3 linked regions of the Lytechinus pictus genome follow. The protein of the gene in region 1 binds, or shares a complex with, the protein of each later gene. Links are inferred from orthologs where the notes say so. Each region holds a gene or a part of one and is shown in the gene's direction. Other genes may lie near its edges.

The links. Proteins that work in one complex are often made in the same cells at the same time.
Region 2: smad nuclear-interacting protein 1-like (region 1) and U5 small nuclear ribonucleoprotein 200 kDa helicase-like share a complex: the UniProt entries of both Homo sapiens proteins name them as parts of the minor spliceosome. The link is inferred for Lytechinus pictus from reciprocal best matches to the Homo sapiens genes SNIP1 and SNRNP200.
Region 3: smad nuclear-interacting protein 1-like (region 1) and E3 ubiquitin-protein ligase RNF113A-like share a complex: the UniProt entries of both Homo sapiens proteins name them as parts of the minor spliceosome. The link is inferred for Lytechinus pictus from reciprocal best matches to the Homo sapiens genes SNIP1 and RNF113A.

The regions. Positions count from the first base shown.
Region 1 is NC_087248.1:10,826,080-10,833,237, forward strand, and holds the start of smad nuclear-interacting protein 1-like, read left to right. Parts: upstream 1-4,139; 5' UTR 4,140-4,184; coding exon 4,185-4,328; intron 4,329-7,158. UniProt on the Homo sapiens protein: Required for pre-mRNA splicing as component of the spliceosome. As a component of the minor spliceosome, involved in the splicing of U12-type introns in pre-mRNAs. Down-regulates NF-kappa-B signaling by competing with RELA for CREBBP/EP300 binding.
Region 2 is NC_087256.1:3,906,419-3,914,093, forward strand, and holds the start of U5 small nuclear ribonucleoprotein 200 kDa helicase-like, read left to right. Parts: upstream 1-4,673; 5' UTR 4,674-4,769; coding exon 4,770-4,814; intron 4,815-7,675. UniProt on the Homo sapiens protein: Catalyzes the ATP-dependent unwinding of U4/U6 RNA duplices, an essential step in the assembly of a catalytically active spliceosome. Plays a role in pre-mRNA splicing as a core component of precatalytic, catalytic and postcatalytic spliceosomal complexes.
Region 3 is NC_087247.1:22,149,258-22,156,673, reverse strand, and holds the start of E3 ubiquitin-protein ligase RNF113A-like, read left to right. Parts: upstream 1-4,414; 5' UTR 4,415-4,429; coding exon 4,430-4,522; intron 4,523-5,434; coding exon 5,435-5,533; intron 5,534-6,112; coding exon 6,113-6,220; intron 6,221-7,382; coding exon 7,383-7,416. UniProt on the Homo sapiens protein: Required for pre-mRNA splicing as component of the spliceosome. As a component of the minor spliceosome, involved in the splicing of U12-type introns in pre-mRNAs. E3 ubiquitin-protein ligase that catalyzes the transfer of ubiquitin onto target proteins.

The DNA.
Region 1 (7,158 bases):
GAAAGGAATTAAGGATATTCATAAGCCTGATTTATATCCCTTCCTCATATATCTATCTCCCCCTCTCTCCATCTCTCTCTCTCTCTATCTATCTATCTACAATGGGTATCAATACACTTTGAAAAAGTCCTGGGAATTGAAAAATATACAACATGGTGATAATTTGTTCACTTATATACTTGGGTTTGGGTCACATCTATCAAATAAAAGTAAACATTTTGACAGAATGTTACACTTGAGTGAATATACTGTCCATTGATTTTTGTTAAGCTTGCAGAAATCGGTTGCACAGAAATGCTCATTTTGACGCTATGTCAAGCACAAAGGGCGAAAGCAAACTAACCGTGTGGTAAGGTACATTTCTCATACATTTCCTTTGTATTTTTAGCGAATTGAAATAAAAACAGTACGCTCAACCTTTACTCCTTTCTTGTGCCAGCTGGATCTGAGGACACAACTGAATGTAAACAAAAGTTTATTTCAGACATCTACATGCCGCACTAAGTTTTTATCATTTAAAGTGGGACCACATTTCATTAATACTTGTTTATCCCCCGGGGTTTCTCCACACTTTTCCCAAGCTTGAAAATGATATTAAAGGTCAATTCCACCCCAGAAAAACGTTGATTTGAATCAATAGAGAAAAATCAAACTAGCATCACGCTGAAAATTTCATCAAAATCGGATGTAAAATAAGAAAGTTATGACATTTTAAAGTTTTGCTTATTTTTCACAAAACAGTTATATGCACAACTCAGTGACCTGCAAATGAGCCGTAAGATGTTATAAGAATGGTAATACCACATGTTCAGGTAGGAATAAAACTTCATTTCGCAGGACAATGAGGAGAAAATTAGAATAATTCATATTTCATATAATAAAATAAAAAAGAAATAGTGAGTGAGTGATGTCATCAGTTCTCTCATTTGCATACCGACCAGGATGTGCATATAACTGTTTTGTGAAATTAAGCGAAATTTAAAAATGTCATAACTTTCTTATTTTACATCCGATTTCGATGAAATTTTCGATGTTATGTTTGTTGGATTTTTCTTTTATTATTCAAATCAACTTTTTGCTGGGATGGACTTGTCCTTTAAGTGGTACTCACAGTTATATATCGTCATTTGCTTTAGGAGATCTGTACAAATGGTTACATGTGGAAAAAAGCTTCAGGATATTACAAATCTATAATTTTACAGCATTATTTCTAAATGTAAACTGTATACGCACTGTATATCTGGGGGCTGATTTTCAAGATTTCAACCAATATATAATATTTCAAGTATCTTATCAGATTTTCAAATATTCAAAGCGCCTAAACACTTTTATTAGACTATTCTTAAAAAAAGGTGCTGAAAACCATTATTCTTCATGATTTCAGATTTACATATTTTGTTCAAAGTGGTAGTCATTGTGTGATTCCATAAATTACTTGGGGAAAAATAAAAATAAAAACTAACTGGCAAAAAGTTATCTTATATTTCACAATATACAACTCCCAAGAATGTTTTGTAATCTGAAAACACTTTTTGCCAGTTAGTTTTTTTTTCAGGAATTTTCAAACTGAAAAACAATTTTTCATGAATAAGAAATCTGAGCTGATTTACCATTTTTATTTAACAAATTCATTTCATTTCAAATTTTCAACAAAACTATAAAAAAAAGTGCCGGAATTATGATACAGCATATATTAAAATGAAATGGGAACCTTCTGGAAAGCATATAGCTATAGTTCCCTCCGTTAAAATCACATTACAAATACAAAATAATCCCATGTATTCGTATTTTGTTTGGCACCCAGTTGATTGGGGTTTAAGGATTTAACCCCTCTCTTGGGCTGCCAAGTAAAAAAAAGTAATAATCTACATTTCGGATCAAACCCCTGATTAGCTTCATTTTATAGTGAACCTTTTTTTCTGGTAAAATGACCTTCTTTTTTAAAACCATCTTTTTTGGGGTGTAAAAAGTTCTCAGTACTCAAAGGACCTCCTTTTGGTAGTGAACCCCTTTTTTTGTCTTGCAAGAACATTTCTCGGTACCCAAATGACCTTCTATTGATAGTGAAACCATTAAAAAACCAACATTTTTTTTTTATTGCTTGCTTGTCAAATTTCTCGGTCAAAATCCCCTCCTTAGAAAAAAGCTAGATCTGCACCTGTCATCATATTGATCATAATCATCATCATCATCGTCGTCGTCGTCGCTTTATCATCATTATCTTCGTCTTCTTTCTTACATTATTCTTCTTCTTTCTCATTTTTTTTTCTTTTTTCTTCTCTTTCATCTATTTCCCCACGACTGAGATACTTTTTTTTTGTTTTGAATAATATTTTATTTTCTTCCTCTTTCAAATCAATAAGTTTACAATCACAATTCATATAAATAAAGATTCTTTGTATGTATACAATCAATAAACAATCAAACAAATAAATATATCAATATCAATGAGATTACGAATATTTTTAAAATGATTACAAATTAAATTAAACTGCCAAATTTCTCTTCTATAACAATGTGAAAGCAGAGGGGAAAAACCCGTATCAATCGACAAAAATAAAAAAAACGTACTTTGTAAAAAATGAATTTTTCCCTGAATAGAATAGAAATAATCTCTTTTGCACATATTAATTGTACGAAAAAAAAGAAAAAAAAAAGGATAAAATATTATTTTAAAGGTTAATTAGAGGAAGGTTATCCTAAAACGTCCCTACACACTCACCTTACCCCCATACCCCCATACCCCCTCCCCCCCTCATCTCTCTCCCCAGACACTCACACAAGCTCACTTCAAACCACCACTACTCACAGCTCCCCCCCCCCCTCTTCCCCGTCACAAAACTCACACATCCATCTACACACGTACACCCACACACAATGCATCCTGCTCTGGTACAATTATCTGTATTTGAACAAATAAACAAAACAGAAACAAAATGAAGCAACCAATACATCCATAGTATTAAGAAAGGTATGCATTGATTTGTTCCCATTTCCTTAAGTGCACCCCCAGCTTCCCCTTTTTAAACGCTATTTGATATTCCGTATCTCTATACTCTTTAACCAAATGTGTCACTTTCTGTACGGTTGGCAATATTCCCTGTTTTCTTGAACTAAAAATGATATACTTAATTAAGAATATAATACAGTTTATTAAAGCTACTCTTGTAGTATTTCCAGATATCCCCATGAAAATTGTTTTCCAAACGTCACTGCCAAGTTCATTCAGTTGAAATATTTTACTCATCTCTTCCCATAATCGCTTAACTTCAGGACAATAAAAAAATAAATGTTGGTAAGACTCAACTTCTTTTTTACAAAAGGAACATAAATTATCTGTCTCAAAACCGAATTTAAAAAGTTCCCTTTTTGTGTACACAGCCCCTTGTAATTGTTTGTATTGAAATTCTCTGTGTTTATTGCATAGCATTGCACATAATCAATTTGAAAATTTTCAATGAAGTGGTCATATATTCGTCTAGATTTTATATCACATAGTTTCTGAACATGCCCACATATCATCAATTGAATTTCAAAGTTGTCTGTATCCATTTCCATAAAATCATTTTGTATCCACTCTTCTGTTATTACTGAAAATATCTTTTGAATTTTGAGCAAGTTTTCAGATGAAAATTTCAGATTATACCAGTATGAAACTGGTCTTAATTTACCTCCAACTATTATATCCGAGACCTTAACTATACCTTTCTGAAATAATTCAATATAAAAAAGGTCTTATTATTAAGGCATAGACGCTTGTTATTAAAAATAATGGGATTACTTTTCCCTCCAAAATGTCTACACTTATCCAATTCGTGTCATGCCTTCAGCATATCTATGTAAAATAATGGTATACCTTTTAAATTCATTCTAATCGTATCATAATCACACAGAAATATGATTCGACCACCTAAAGAGCTAAAAAAATATTCGAAGGTTGCTTTCCAACCCGAACTTTTCCCTCCATCTAGCAAACGTTTAATCCACATTATTCGTTGGGTCTTAACAAAGACCTCAAAATTTGGAGCTCTCAGTCCTCCAACAGAATAGTCTTGATATAGAACCTTGCGTTTTATTCTATCTCTTCCTCCCCAAATAAAGTTAAAAGAAATACGGTCTTTTGATTTCTTTTATAGCGCCATCTTCCGTTGGGCATTAATGTAGTTTTTGCAGAATAGAGAAAAATGTCATCAAAGTCAGACTCAAGAAAACATCGAAGCCACGACGATTACGATAGACATCGTAGTCATAGACCAAGATCTCGCAGTAGAAGTCCGAAAACTAGTAACAGAGAAAAGGATGGTAAATCCCATCGCTCTGAAAAATCGGTACGTAGCGGAGCAACTTATTACAATTTCAGACCAAACAGATCCGGCTGCCGGCTGCGACACCTCGAATGGCACATGCACAAAAAATTAACCCGGCCCTAGCCCGAGGGCCGGGCGAGGCGCGAGGTCAGGGCAGCTGGCGGGCTGGTACGGTATGTATGGTGAAACTAATTTCAAAAGCCGAAGCAATACCTAACGTTATAGCCTATGCTATGGCTATGGATGGAAACTTCGACTGTTATTTCTTATTCGTCAATCATGTACACCGTTTTGCCCCTGTCATCATCTTCATCATTTATTAATCACTCACACTGACTATTGCGAGGTTAGTATAATTTAAACTATAAATGTATATTCTATACTAACTAGGCCTATAATATAGTATACGAACCTCGTCCTCGCACAACCATCATGTTTTTGTAGTGGATTTTAGAGTTGTCGTTAACATCGCTTCATAACGTGAATGATGTTAGCCGAAACCCATTCCGCTACTCACCAGGGCTTTTTATGGTATAAAGCGTTCCATTTTCAATTTTTAACATATTTTTTTAATTTAAAAGGATACAAAAAAGAGCAAAATCGCTTACCTCCGCCTGGAAAGTGGCTTCGCACGTCTCTTCCACGGAAATAATAAGGAGGTCGTTGGTGGCGCTAATACAGTTCACAACCTTAATTCAGCTGTGTGTTTTTTTTTAAACTAGATTCATGATTCATTGTATGCGCAATTCCAATAATTGTTTGATAAAATAGAGACCCCAATAAATGCAATAACTTAAAAAAAGTACTTTTTTATTATTTTTGCTGACGATAATACTTTTTGGAAAATATTCAAAACGATGACAAATTAAACAAAAAATATAGATAATTCTATGTACCTTGAACAAAGCCCCGCAAGTGCTACCGTTCGTTTGTCAATTAATGTTCCACCAAAGTCTTTACAGTAAAAAGATTGAACACTGCCGACTTCGCGTAACGCTTTGCATCGATTTACGTGTAAGATAATTTCTGTGTCTAGTCTTTCAATTGTAGTGTCTTTGATATGAAGATAAATCGCGCGCCCTCTTTCGCTCATTAGACGAAAAATTTGAGAGCTAGAAAGGTAGTGTAGGGTTGAAGAAAATTATATGTTTGGAGTTGAAAATAAATGAAGTTCTAAATCATCAAACTGAAGGGGAATGAAGCAGACGCAAAATGAAGAGAACTTAAACCGAAGGAGTCTGGTTGTACACTGTTTAATATCTGGGCTATTTTGCCTCAGCTTAACTTTGGATCACAGTATAATTTACATAAATATTTAAATTAGAAATAACCAATCAAACTAAAGAAAATGGAAGGATCGAACTAAAATGTAAGAACCCAATTCATAAGATAAACCAATAAGGAATGAGATGAGATGACAAAGATGTCTGGTGATTATGTAATAATGGAAGTAAAAACTAAGGAGTCAGGTGAGGGATGGAATGAGTGGAACACCTGAAGAGAGAATAGAGAAGGAATGAAGATGACAAGAGAAACACAGGAAAGGCATTCAGAGTAGAATGAATGAATGACAACTGAATATCATTAAACTCAAATAACCTTAGTCCAGACTGCAAGGGCAGTACTGAAAAGAAATGCAAATGAACTAAGATCTAGACAGAACAGAAATGTAAAACACCTTAAGAAAACACAAGTCAAAGGAAATAAACAAAGTAGGTAAATGACAAATTAACAATCCTACAGTAGCTTTCGTATTTTGTCAACGAGAAGTAAAATCAACGCTTAAATGACGCATTTTGAGGGATATTCATCAAATTATGAGGAATTGACTTCACATCGTTTCGTTAGTTTCGTAGGAGGACTTCATTCTGTAAGTCCTCGTATTAATTTTTCGTAAATTAACGTTATTTGTTGAATGCGCCGTGCCTTCAATTATTCTGTAGTCGGCGGCTGAGATGTAGCCGTGGGTGTTTATTAATCAGACATCAATCATTGTCGCCGTCGTCGCTTCATCATTTCATGATCATCATTATGATCTTCGTCTTCTTTCTCATTTCTTTTTTAATCTATTTCCCCACGACTGAGATTATAATGGGTCTTTTGATTTCTTTCAGACTCAAAGTCGCGAGTCGCATTCAAAATCAGACCTTTTCTTCGCTAGTTTCAACTTTAAATAGTGATAGACAAAAGCTAATCTCCTAAAGAGGGCTAACTTAGCTTTAGTCTACTCTAGATCCACTCACAAAAAGTCACATGTATTGCGAGGACAGTATTAGTATACTAACCTCGCACCATGAACCGCGTTTGGCAGTGGATTTCTAACTAGTGGGTCGCGCGTGCTGCGATCCCACTTCTGGTGTCCACAACACACGACTTCTATGGCTTGATTTTTCTGTGTGCAGCGGCATGTAATGAACCCTTGAGTGACTAGTTAGATCAGACTACGCTACTGGTTGAAAAACCAGGATTGTCCAGAAAGCTGCAAACGATAACGTCTAAATAGAGAAAATTCTAATGAACTAGGAGAAATCATGTCTTGATAAATTGAGATTGTCTTTGTTTATTATACAAACATTTTTGTCTCACCTGCATAGCAGAGTGAGACTATAGGCGCCGCTTTTCCGACGGCGGCGGCGTCAACACCAAATCTTAACCTGAGGTTAAGTTTTTTAAATGACAGCATAACTTAGAAAGTATATGGACCTAGTTCATGAAACTTGGCCATAAGGTTAATCAAGTATTACTGAACATCCTGCCTGAGTTTCATGTCACATGACCAAGGTCAAAGGTCATTTAGGGTCAATGAACTTAGACCATGTTGGGGGAATCAACATCAAAATCTTAACCTAAG
Region 2 (7,675 bases), on another chromosome or scaffold:
ATTTAAATATTGGTTTATCCGAAGAAAAAAAATTCTTCATATTGTCAAAATGTGAGGTTGTAAAAGTTGAAGACAAAATACAAGACTTTGATATCCGTGTTTTGCTCACTGCTAAGTAGTTGAACTACATATTACACATCGCATGCGTAAGTGAACCCCAAATCTTGTTCTCTTATTTGTTGAAGCTCTCACCAAATTTATTCGCATTCAATCAAGTACTAGCGAGGGATATTATTAATCAATATTAACAAGATAAATCATTTTACAGCTTAGGATGTGATTGTTCAAGATCAATGAGAATCTTTAAATCAATGTATTTATTGTTGGTATTGGGGTGGCTGGACACATATAGCAAGTATTATAAAACCAAGACATGATCATGGAAAGCAACTGCAGTTTGAGTAAATAAAAATATACGCTATAATACAGTTTAAAATACGTTTATTTTCAGTACTGGCAGGCCTAGGACCATGATAAAAGATACTAAAAGTTGGCAAGTACTGTGTGATAACGGCATGCATTCTTATCAAGTTTTTGCACAAACATTTACAAAGACTGTTTATGTTTATTCTTTTAAAAAACCTCCATTGAAACTTGCCTCACCTCCTTTTAAATTCGCTTCACCATAATTTGTAGTACCATGGGTGTCGATCACGGGGGGGGGGGGGAATATATCCCCCCCCCCCATTATTTCAAGTGGGGGGATGGTCTGTATTTTCATCCCCCCTATAATTTAGGGTAGAAAAATTATAATAATGATGATGAAAAAATGAAAATTTGATCATGATGATTATATGCCATCAATCAGTTTGTTTCCCTCGCAATTTGTGTATATTGTTATTAAATAAAAACATTCTTTTCCATGACTTTTAAACAGATTGATGGAGGTTCAAGATGAAAAATAATGAAATGTTTATGTATATGATATTTTTAAATACATGACATAAAAAGACCCCGACGAAAAACAACTTTTGTTGATAGGTGTTCCATCCCACCAGTGGTTAATAAATTAATTTTAACAAATCAATTAATTCAAAAGGGTGTATAAATAAACGGGAGTAAGAGGGTGGCAAGATCAACGGGGAAAACCCCATGGACGTAAATCCCAGAGGGGTAGATCTTGAAAAAGTACAAATAACTTTTCTCAGATTTATCCCTCCCCACATCCAAGTGCATGATGTTTGTCCATCCCATTTAATCTACAACCCTTTGCCTGGTTATATACCGATGTATGTCATGGTAGTATTGTTATATATTATGTTCGGCATTCAGTAAACCTTTGAACATGAAATTATACCAAAAGGAAGATGTGCACAAAACGAATGTCACCTCTACTTGTGTATACCTTGACTTGAACGATAAGTTTTGGTCAATAATATTTTGCAGGAGAGCATTGATGTCCTCATTACCTATCTAAACTCCTCACAAAAAGTTTGGAAATCAGTTTGGCTATTAATTTCTCCCAACTCCAAATTTTACACAATGCATATTTGACGTCATTCAAAAGATCACTTAATTCTCTGTCATCACGAAAAGAACAGGATTCAAAAGTGTTGGATGAGGTCTGAATTTGAAAGCTGCAAAACGAGCAAAAAAAGTTTGGAAATCTGAGTTTGGCCGATAATTCTCCCAACTCATCACCACGGAAAAAAAACCAGTAACTTTCAATATTATGTCATTGTGCAACTTTTGAATTTTGACCTTGCCCCACATTTCAAGGCACTGCACCTCCATGTGAACCATAATCATATCATGTAGGGTATCATATTAAAGAGAATTAGATGATCTATTCAGTGATATTACTAACATATTGATATACATGTATATTAAATTTGAGGAGGGATTATCGATCAAAGTCAGATTTCCAAACTTTTTTTGAGGAGTTTATGTGGAAATGAGGTGCCTATAGTCATGAAAGAGTGAGCCCATATCACTTTTAAAAAGTCATAATGGTCGTGTGGTGATCAGTAGCTCATGTGTATGGTGCTTTTGTTGTATGCGGTTGGATGTAATTAATATCAAACATTTTATCATGTGACCCCATCAGAAAGAATAATCATTCATTTCTCTTTAAAGCGTATCTTCGGATATGAACATCGGATTTTTTCCATGTTATTCTTGTTATGGACTTGAATAACTAAACTTGATTGATTTTTTCTTATTTTGGCAAAAAGAAATCTCTTTTGAGTTTGGAAAGGGATGACAGGTTTGCAATCTATATGAGCACACTCATGCGGTACGTAAATTTCATTTTAACACATATATTAGCTGATATTACACACTGATGGTTCAAGAAAATGTTGGAGAAATATCATAACAGACAGTTGAGTTTTGATTGTTTTTATGTTTGTTTTTGTTTCATTCACTTACAAAGCATTTAAAACATGTTAAAATCCAGGGTTAAAATCGTCTAAGGAATGACGGTAAGCCCGATGGCGCACGAGCTAGAAGCCACAACGTTTGTAATTTGTGCTAGTCTTAATTTGTCCGAATCTGCATTTTATCATCATGCATTAAGAAGAAAAAAAATATTGCCAGTCGGGTTAGATTTAAGAGAGAAGTTGTATACATCATGCTCAATAAACAGATCACTTTGTACATGGTCCAGACAATTTTTGTCATTTTTTCTTTCGTATGAGCTTAGAACATGCTTACTTGTAACACAAATTGAATTTTCAAAAAAAATTATACATAATACAGTACACTGCAACAATGAAGGAATTTCCAAGAACACCATGCATATCAACCACTCCCAAATGTTCTAACTTGTGATTTTAGTGGGGGTAATGTTGAAAGATCCCCATCCCCAAGAACATTTGTGTCAATCATCCCCCCCCCCCAACCAAGAATACCGATTGACACCCATGTGTAGTACAGACAGTTTATTCTTTTTAAAAACCTCCATTGAAACTTGCCTCACCTCCTTTTAAGTTTGTAGTACAGTTTATTCTTTTTAAAAACCTCCATTGAAACTTGCCTCACATCCTTTTAAATTTGCTTCACCATAATACAGTTTATTCTTTTTAAAAACCTCCATTGAAACTTGCCTCGCCTCCTTTTAAGTTTGTAGTACAGTTTATTCTTTTTAAAAACCTCCATTGAAACTTGCCTCACCTCCTTTTAAGTTTGTAGTACAGTTTATTCTTTTTTAAAACGTACCTCCATTGAAACTTGCCTCACCTCCTTTTAAATTTGTAGTACAGTTTATTCTTAAAAAAAAAAACCTCCATTGAAACTTGCCTCACCTCCTTTTAAATTCGCTTCACCATAATTTGTAGTACAGTTTATTCTTTTTAAAAACCTCCATTGAAACTTGCCTCACCTCCTTTGTAGTACAGTTTATTCTTTAAAAAACCTCCATTGAAACTTGCCTCACCTCCTTTTAAATTGGCTTCACCATAATGCAGTCTATTCTTTTTAAAAACCTCCATTGAAACTTGTCTCACCTCCTTTTAAATTTGTAGTACAGTTTATTCTCTTTAAAAACCTCCATTGAAACTTGCCTCACCTCCTTTTAAATTTGCTTCACCATAATTTGTAGTACAGTTTATTCTTTTTAAAAACCTCCATTGAAGCTTGCATCACCTCCATTTAAATTTGTAGTACAGTTTATTCTTTAAAAAAAAACCTCCATTGAAACTTGCCTCACCTCCTTTTAAATTCGCTTCACCATAATTTGTAGTACAGTTTATTCTTTTTAAAAACCTCCATTGAAACTTGCCTCACCTCGCTCCATTTAAATTTGTAGTATTTTACGGTTATTCTTTTAAAAACCTCCATTGAAACTTGCCTCACCTCCTTTTAAATTGGCTTCACCATAATGCAGTCTATTCTTTTTAAAAACCTCCATTGAAACTTGATCACCCTCTTTTTTAATTTGTAGTACAGTTTATTCTTTTTAAAAACCTCCATTGAAATTAACTTAATGCCTCACCTCCATTTAAATTTGTAGTACAGTTTATTCTTTAAAAAAAACCTCCATTGAAACTTGTCTCACCTCCTTTTAAATTGGCTTCACCATAATGCAGTTTATTCTTTTAAAAACCTCCATTGAAACTTGCCTCACCTCCTTTTAAATTGGCTTCACCATAATGCAGTTTATTCTTTTTAAAAACCTCCATTGAAACTTGTCTCACCTCCTTTTAAATTGGCTTCACCATAATATTCACGTAAGGTATATTCATTCTTTAAAAAAAAACATAATTGTTCACTTCACTCTACTAGATCAATTAGCTATATATAATACCTTTTATTCTACTCTATTCTTCCCTTTAAAAAAAAACCTGATTGTACTCCTGCCTCCCCTGATCTGACATTTGCCTCCCAACGTACTGTACATATAGTGTTATTATCTCTTTATATCGGAAACTTCGTTTTACCAAGGAGAGAGTGATATCTCCTTGGTTTTACCGAATTGCACTCTCTCCGAAGCGGTTTGAAGTCTGTCTAGCATGGAATACTACCAGCCGATGGTACACACACACACACACACACTCACACACACACACGTTATTTGACAACTTGTCTCTGGAGCCAAAGTTCCTCGCATATAACTATCCTGTATCTGCATGCCTGCACGCAGTGTGTATTGAACACGCACGACCACGATCTAATGAATATTCATCGGCGAGAGTGACGTCATTTTACGAGTCTCCTTTCAAACTTGGTTCATAAGTGCCTACCCATTAAAATGCGTGAGTTCTACTTTTGTGAAAAACGTCAGTTAATCGTAAGATAATTCATCAAGAAGTACACTTTACTCTTTAGCCATGGCTGATGCTACGGCTAGGTCACTACAATATGAGTACAAAGCGGTAAGTGATATTTGATTTGTTTGTTTAAGATGTAATATCGTCCCTAGAGAATGTAGATTCCCAGCTCGCTTTTCATTTTTTTTGCAATTGGGCTTGGCACGCGCAACACTTGACTTTTCCCACCTATTGTAATCTGTGTAATGTGCTGTGCGGACAGTCTTGGGTTCTAAACTTCGAACACAATACATCATTTTTCGAATTCCAAGTAAATATGACAGGAAAAATCATGGTTCATGCTAATATAGACCCATTGAGCAGTTTACAAAAATTATTGAATGGAAGTTGGAATGGAGAGTGTTTTTTTTTTGGGATAAAACTCAAAAGTAGGGATGCCACCACAAAAATTGAAGTGTTGTAAATCTAGTATTAAATAGTTTTGACTGGAATAAGCTCTGAAACACGAGTAAAATGACACCAAGATCATAAAAAATTGGACCAGGGGTTGCCGAGATATGGCCAATTCAAATTTTGAAAAATGCCAAAATGGCAAAAATTTGTTTTTTGCCATTTTTAAAGCTATCTAAGTATTTTAAATCTTGATGAAGTATAGAGGTTGCTTTTCCTTGGGGCACCTAACATGTCAACCACCAACAAGTACCTGAAAAATTGGGTCCGAATTACTTTTGGTTTTCACAGTTTCATATTAACGGAGTTCAAAATATGGGGAAAACACATGTCACAAATTTTCACCTTTGGACTAGTGCTGTTGTCGGGAACAAAAATCCATGTTGACATGTCGCTTAAAAATTAATCCCGACATCGACAATGTCGACATGAAAAAGGGACTGTAATTTAGCCTAGGCTCCCTAACACAAAAAAAAATAATTCGATCGTGGAACATAACAGTAACACTCTCAATCAAATGTCTTCACCTTGACACGAGTGATATCCCCACACTAGATCTAGATCTATATAATACAGGCTCAGTTCGGGAAACATTTTGACTAAGCTAGAGTGAATTCACTTCCAAAATCACTGATTAATCCACATTTTTTTCTGGAGAATCAAGTTTTTGTACCACGATCCGGTCTCGAAAGCATTGTGCAATAACACTCGGAGCCAATTTGAGAATCAACCAATTACAACAGTGATCATTGCATATTATACGCTGGTACTCGTGTTCTGCAAACGCAAGCTCCTCAAATTGACCAAAAAAAATAATGAAAATCGACCGATAATTTCAGTATCACTTCCGCGGCGATCGGTGCAACGATCTCCAAACGAAGGAAGGGAAGTTTTCTGTGACTTCGTGATATGAAGTAAGTAAGCTTGTAACCGATTTTGCAATCGGCAACCGATTCCATTCGATTTCACCACAATCGGCAATCACTTGCCGATCTTCGATCATGCCCCTTGAAGGAAAAAATCGAAAATAAAAAATCGGCGTAGATCCGGTTACAGTGCGTGATCGCTCAGAACATATTTCAAGATTGTTTTTGAGGTGCTAGCTATTTAGAGGTCGCATTATTCAGGGAGAAAGTCGCGGTATTATCTATGGCAATGTTTAAGGGGATAGATATCTTCTCTTCCAACTCATGGTGATAGCGGATGCCGCCGTGAACTTTGAAAGGTCGTATTACCGACGGAGCTCACTGCGTTACTCTCTTACCCCCTTTATAATGATATAAATCTTCTCTTCAACCTCGTGGTGATAGCGGACCCCGCCATTAACTTTTAAAGACTGTACTATTGACGGAGCTTATTGCGTTGCTCTCTTACATCGTTTATGATGATATTCATTTTATTTTCAACCTCGTGGTGATAGCGGAAGCCGCCGTGAACTTTGAAAGGACGTATTACCGACGGAGCTCACTGCGCTACTCTCTTACATCGTTTATAATGATATAAATCTTCTCTTCAACCTCGTGGTGATAGCGGACCCCGCCAGAAACTTTTAAAGACTGTACTATTGACGGAGCTTATTGCGTTACTCTCTTACATCGTTTATGATGATATTCATTTTATTTTCAACCTCGTGGTGATAGCGGACGCCGCCGTGAACTTTGAAAGGTCGTATTACCGACGGAGCTCACTGCGCTACTCTCTTACATCGTTTATAATGATATAAATCTTCTCTTCAACCTCGTGGTGATAGCGGACCCCGCCAGAAACTTTTAAAGACTGTACTATTGACGGAGCTTATTGCGTTACTCTCTTACATCGTTTATGATGATATTCATTTTATTTTCAACCTCGTGGTGATAGCGGACGCCGCCGTGAACTTTGAAAGGTCGTATTACCGACGGAGCTCACTGCGTTACTCTCTTACATCGTTTATGATGATATACATTTTATTTTCAACCTCGTGGTGATAGCGGACCCCGCCGTGAACTTTGAAAGGTCGTACTATTGACGGAGCTCATTGCGTTACTCTCTTACATCGTTTATGATGATTTACATTTTATTTTCAACCTCGTGGTGATAGCGGACCCCGCCGTGAACTTTTAAAGATCGTGCTACTGACGGAGCTCATTGCGTTACTCTCTTACATCGTTTATGATGATTTACATTTTATTTTCAACCTCGTGGTGATAGCGGACCCCGCCCTGAACTTTTAAAGATCGTGCTACTGACGGAGCTTATTGCGTTACTCTCTTACATCGTTTATGATGATATACATTTTATTTTCAACCTCGTGGTGATAGCGGATGCCGCCGTGAACTTTGAAAGGTCGTACTATTGACGGAGCTCATTGCGTTACTCTCTTACATCGTTTATGATGATTTACATTTTATTTTCAACCTCGTGGTGATAGCGGACCCCGCCGTGAACTTTTAAACATCGTGCAACTGACGGAGCTTATTGCGTTACTCTCTTACATCGTTTATGATGATATTCATTTTATTTTCAACCTCGTGGTG
Region 3 (7,416 bases), on another chromosome or scaffold:
TTTACATTGTCCAAAATATATAATTGAAAGATCAATGCTCCTTGTAGAATTGAATGAATCACAGCCAGGACAAATAATGGAGTATTTAAAAAAAGATGACCCAGGGATACAGAAAGCATTTTTACGTTTCGTTTCAAGAACGAAACGTTTTAGTAAGGAGTGATGTACTATTTTAATATTGTATTGTCTATAAGAAATATGAATGGATATGCTTGTACAAGTCTAATGTGAAAAGAAGAAAAAATATATATATATACATAATAATGTATGATATAATATATACAATATGATATATTCTGCACATATAACTAACAAAGCCCACAAGTGTTTTCGCCTTGTTGTTGTTGTTGTTTAAAAAAAAGAAACAAATTATTTTAATGTTTAACCCATCTGTAAGCACAGGTACACTAGCGCCCCCTCGTCTATGCATGGGTGACCTAGGCATTTATGTCCGAAAAATCGGCACAATGTACCGTGCTGACCGGTATGATTGCATCTTTGAAAGGGCAGGGCAAGCGCAACTAGTTGGAACTGAGCTGAAGATAGCGGTTTGTTTTTGGTGAAGTTTTGTTTATATGCCATTTTGACAAGAGTTACTGCAAACTTTTGTACATATCATAATTATCCTCTTTCATATCAGAAGGATACAAAAAAAATATTTTATATATGTATACATCATATTGGTAATAATATTATTATGTGAGAAGTGAGATTTTTTATTAATAATGTCAATGGCGACAATAGTCAAATATGACTAATCGCCACTCAAACCAACATAAGAAGAAGAAGAAGACTAAGGACGGATCGAACGAAGTATCGTGGTTGAGATTTGGAGGTAAGCGATAAAAACACTTTTATAAATAATTTCCAATTCCTTTTTACAATGAACTTAAATCATACGATCAAGATTAACATAGTGGAAAAATATTTAAAGGTTTGGCGTGTTTTAGTCCCTCACATTCGTGTGATGAATGAAAACGTCAAAATGCACTATGAAATCACATGCGTTGTGCGAGGTTAGTAATACTAACCTCACATGTTGTGTGAGTGCATCTCATGTATATACTTATAGGTGAAGTACGCCATCTTTTGACAAGATGATGATGAAAGTGGACTGAACGAGCAAGAAAATAATGCTGGGCGTCTAGAATGCAGCTAGCAGTACAAGCTTCAGTACCGTAAACAAACCGGCTTATAAATAAAATTGCGCGCCCTCTTTAGGCCAAATTTGATTTTGTCGCTGATCAAAGGGCATCTACGTGAAGATAAAGAAAAAATACATTAAAAAAAAAGGATCCATATTGTTCGATAAGTGTCATAGCACAATGTGAAATTATAGCTTTAGTGTTATAATCTTTTATTTGGGCAAAAGCCCATGAAAGATTTGCATGTGTCGTGTGCATTTGATATTCCTTCGCACGCGGGATGAAATGAACCCATGGGTGTATTAGAATCTAATCAGCGATGTAGGTCACTCATTCAATAAACAAGCCTATAATAAAAACTTGTTCTCTGTTCTCCCTGTGTGGTGAAATAGTATTGGCAATGTTTGGCTTATTTTCTCTGTCTTCAGCATAATTGGACCAAAACAAACATGCAATCATTGAATCAAATAAAAGTCATGTGTGTTTCTGTGGTACAATTAATGTTGAATATATATGGTAAATGGAAATTATTTACTTACTACCAGGAGCTTGTTTTTTAGCAAGAGTTCCATATGCACCCCCACTAGAATTAAAAATAAAAACATGGAGAAGGTTCAGAATAATATATCTAGCCCTAATATAGAACATATGATTGGGGAGTAGAAATACATACCAAAATATGGCTTTATTCCGTCAAATTTCGAGCATGATCTTTTGTAAACATAAGTCATTTTTTAGAATTTTTAATATGTGTGTTGTATTACTGCATAGATACCACACAGGCAGGGTGGTTGTTGTCAACAAGTGATGTAGGTCATAAGCAAGTCGGAGTCGGAGCTTCGATTAAGGCCGAAGGCGGAGCTGAAACTGGACTCGACGAACAATCATAACAAGTATAACTGTATGGGACTGCTGGAAAAGGTCTTTTATAATGACTTAACTACAATCATCCTATACACGAGGTTATAATTTAACCTAGTCTCCCCCTTTATAGTTGAACGTACATGTTGACAAAAACAAAACTTACATCACTTTAACTTGTTCACTGCAACCACCCTGCCTGTGGTGAATGTACATATTATAGACTATATAACACATTTTAAAAATTCTATAAAATATCACTTTTGGAACCCAAAATACTCATACAGTCCTATACAGTTATGATTTTTTTTTTTTTAATTACTAACTTGGAGATCAATATTTTAATTTACCAGAGCACTCAAAAACTTTATTTTGAGCATATTTTGGTGTGGGCCCTCTATTGGTGGGAAATAAATTTGGTCTGAATTGTCACCAAACAATCTCTTTTTAATTTTGAAAAAAGAAGTAAATCTAAGTTAGAGCCAAGTTATATGATGAATAGCTGTAATAGAAACTGACAGTGTAAAAAGTGTAAGTCCAAGAACAAGAGAAAATAAGCCAAACATTGCCAACCTTATTTTACCACACAGGGAGTTGTAACAGAGGACAAGGTTATTCATTATACATTTTACATTGGATGAGTGACTTGCATTGCCCATGGACTAGGTGGCAATGGGACCTCAATGAAACCTGCAAGAGTTGTCAGATTTCCAAGCACCATTCTATGAAATCGACAGATATTTGATCAAAATTTTCATATTAGATATAATTTGTGATATCTTAACTTTCCTTTCGAGGACTCCATCACTTTCAAGCTCCAAGCTTAAGATGGAGGTCTCCCACATTTCTATATATATATATGTTCATTAATTAAAGAAAATGTATATATAGATATAATTTTCACAGTACAGTTGATATTTTATAATGATTTATGTGCATTATTCATTATGTTTAAAAAAATATTTGCCTATTATGTAATATTGAAAAAAAAATATTATACTTGTATATTCTTTGTTTTTGTTTTGAAATGTGGAAATGAAATAAATCAAATCAAATCAAAAATATACAAGAACTAATTTCACTTTAAAAATGTTTGTAATTAAAAGAAAAATATAAAATCACTAGACAATTCACCCCCCCCCCCATCTTTGTGTGCATTTGTGTGTTGCTACGGGGATGCCGACTTTCTACAAATACACCACCCCTTATTTGCGCTATTGTCGCCTATGAGGTCAATAGTTATGCTTTGACCCCATTGTTAGTAGGAGTGGGAAAATGCCCTGTTAAGCTGTTTCCCGTAATATTTAACATAGAACCTTTGTAATTTTTAGGTTTAGTTACTGTAGGAAGAGTGCCTTTTGGGACAGCCACCCAAATATAATACAAAAGGTATATATATATGAAAACTGGATTAAAACTCACCAATTTTTCCTTGCGTTGTGCCCAGATTTAGTCCTTACGTCTTGCTCTGAATATACGATGACAAAGTCAAGAGTGACAGATTGAAAAGGAAAAACATACTTGAGTCTCCATTTAGGAGACATTTTTTTAAGCATTACATTTTATTCAAAGTGGTAGGTGCTAATGAGTGCTTAACATCTAGGGCATGAGAGGTGCTAGTGCAGTTGCACATGCCACCTGTAGTAAACCACTTCACTAATAGTATATCCAAAATAATTTTATGCAATTACCCGCTTGTGGCTGTATCCAATAACGTTGGTGTCGATATAGCCACACGCCGCTGTTTAAGAACACCCGACATGTGCAATTTGAGAGGGGTACGTTTGCAAGCTTGTTGTGGCATCAGCCGAATGATCAAAATGACATGCCAATCAAAATTGCACTCAATCAGGCTCAATTGTCCTTGGTGTTTCTCTAAATTTGGTTTAATTCTCACTGTCCCTCTTTTTTTTACTCTTGTTTCAATTTCAAATGCTAAAATTATGCAAGAACTTTAATGTAATTTAGCAATGGCGGATCCCCCGGATCCGCCATTGCCTCCACACCCCCTTTGATATGCCCTTGTGATATTAAGCAAAATATTGAAATAGTATTGTATTTTTACATCCCATTTTGATTCTTGTTTGATTTCTTTTATTTTATTGAAATAAACTTTCTTTTGTGGCAGACTTCCCCTTAAAGTAGTCTGGATTAGTTTTTACTTGCACTTCATTTTCAATTGTTATGTCTGCCTAACTCATTTCTACATTTCATGAGTCATGATAGTCATTTTGACTATTCACCTAGCCTATAAACCCTGTATGCATTCCTATGTGACTTATCATATATCAAGTAAGTTTGCTCATAATGGATTCAGAATGGTTCTGACTCATTCCAGTAGATTATTTACACCAGTAGCCCTGATTTGATATTTCTTTATATGTTCAAAAGTTATTTTAAAGTGCTTTTCTTATTTTCCTTTTATGTTCTTTTGTTATATAGGAAGTAATGAAGATGAGAGTGCTGTTGTAAGGAAAGAAAGGAGACAAGCCATTCCAAATCCTATGAGACAAAAGGTAATACAATTCGGCATTTGTACCAACAATTGACTTGTCTATTTCACTATTTTTATATTTCCCTTGTACATTGTTTATCAGATTTGTAAAAATTAGTGTAAAAGTCTATCATACTCTGGAATCATTTCAGGAGAGATGTTAATTTGATACTGTGTTCGCTTGATGGCTAGGTATAGGTTTGTTGTATGGCAACATTTCTTCTGGAATGAAAGTCTCATTAATTAATTGCTAATTGTACTACTGAAGTAAAAATTTGGGTCTAATTTATACTAACACTTGTACAACCAATGAATAAAGGAACATGTAATTCATTAAAACAGTTAAAAGGAATTGCTAATTTAAAGGAATTATTAATTGCTAATTGTACTACTGAAGTAAAAATTTGGGTCTAATTTATACTAACACTTGTACAACCAATGAATAAAGGAACATGTAATTCATTAAAACAGTTTAAAGGAAATGATAAAGATATAGCCTTCTCATATAACAGCAATCTGAAATTCAAAATTCATTGGACTGTAGTTTGTACACATGTATGCTTTTCCAATTGTACGAGTAATTTGCTGTTTTTTTTCCTTTAACATTTTTTATATACAGTTTGTTTACATATTAATCATTTTTCTTCCAATTATTTTGCAAAGTGGAATAGATAGTAATTAAATGAAAAGAAATTTAAAATAAGTGATTATGAAAAGTAATTAATGTAAGATAAAGTATTTTGAAATCATGCATTCACAAGTATAGGTTGATCCCAAGATTTGCATAACCGCACCTATTACTGATTATTGCAAGAAATATAAAATTTAATTCCAAGACAAACTTTATCATTACCCCAGTTTGGCAGGTATTAAAGGGGGGAGGGGTGAGTAGTTGCAATAAAGATTTTAATATGAATATCTTCCTTTATTTTAGACGAAGAAACTGAGTGAGAAGCAAGATATCAAATACAGTGACAGTAGTGAAGATGAATCTAAGGATACGATGGTCAGCTATAAATCCAGTAGATCCGCTGTGAGTATTCAATTATTTGTCATTCAATACTTCATCATTCTTAAAATGATTTTAACGAAATATTCATACATTACAAAATAAAATGATAAAACTTGTCTTGCTTCATCTTTGATGACTTGTTGGCTATTTATCAAAATGGCATCTCCATCTTATGTTTACATTTCTTATCGAAGGAGGAGAGAGATTATTTTTAATTATGACAGTTCATACCTGTCTCCACATCTTAAATCATTGACTTCTGACTTCACAATTACTCTGAAACTATCCTGACTCCTGAACAAATACTTGGTCAATTTGAGGTGATTTAGCAATTTGAAATGAGTGAAGAACAGATTCAGCAGAGTCTTCACTAGTCATCCTTTCATAAAAGCTTGCCCAAGTCTAAGCATTTTTCAAACCAGAATATACAATGTAAATGAATTTTCCAAGCCAAATTGCACCCAAATCACGCAGATTTCTGTGATGCTAAGAGGTTTGAGTTCAGTAGATTTGCCTGCATTGATTTTATTTTTTCCCAGGATAAAGGGTTGATTTTACATTCCTTTAAAGTTTGAGTTATTGATGGTCTTAACTTTTCAGAAACCAACTGGACCAGAAGATGGGGGTGCTACAGCAACCTATAACCTGGATACAGATTTCAATGAAGATGCACAGGCATTGTTTGAGAAACAGAAGAAGATCAATGAGGTATGCAAAGAATAATGCATTACTATTCCAATCCAATCTGCCACAGCTACATTGAATAGAACAAGGAGCGATTACATCACAACCCATATTTGATAAAAGAGGACCATGGGGGCCCAAGATATGACTGTATAAATGCCTTCTTTGCCCATTGAAATCAGTGTAAAAATTTGCCTGGTTCCAATTAGTTATGAAACCGGCCAATTAACATTGATTTTAATGGGACATATTAAGTATGCATTTGGCAATAGCTTGGGCCAGCATGAAGCTGTTTGTGTCAATTTGGTGTGTCAAGGTTTTTTCATTATACTCTACAGTGGCAAAATGAGCTGAAAATTTTAAGGACAACATGGCATATATTGAAAAATATCTTTAAAGTTGTGAGCAAACAAAAATTCTGGTCTTACTAAATTGGAAATCTAATTTTGCGATGGATATTGACAATAATAATGAAAAATGATATATTTGATCCTTTTTTATTTTCATTTTCTTTTTTCTTCTTCGTCTTCTTTTCCTTGGCCAGAGCCCCATGTTGGTACTTTATATCATTAAGTTTAAGCCTGAGCCAAGTAGCACCTGGTTCCATTCCCAGAATGCAGATTCATTCTCACAAAAATGTCAAAATTTATTGCCCCAACCATGTTTTGGCCTGCTCGCCCATTGGCTGGGCAAACAGTAGGAAAGTAAGGGAATAATACCAAGAGTAGCCTACAGTCCCTAACTTTCAAATGCTTTCCCATACAAGCAATGAAACAAAAGATTTGTATTCATCAGCAAGAGAAGATTATACTTGCTTTAATATATTGGGATTAATACTTTCTGCATCAGAAAATTCCCTAATCATTGTACAACAATTCAGCACATATATATTGTCTTTAGCAGAGCTGATTTTATAGTCTGCTTTTCGAGAAAAAAATTCCTGCCAGTTCCCGGTTTGCCTCAGTCAGGTTATTTAAGTGCAACCCAATATGGATGAATTTCTCTGCCTAAAGGAAATCAGAATCAGGGATAGGGTTTGACCCTCTGATGAAGAGAAGGAACCACTACACCATGAAACCGCCATAAATCAAATGCAGCTTAATCACTCTTTATTCATTACAGCACAGTCAATGTCTTGTAGACAGGACATGGTTATCATTTTCACTGTTTTTTTCTGCTCATGTAGGAGTTGAAAGGAGAGGAGGATGACAAGAAGTACA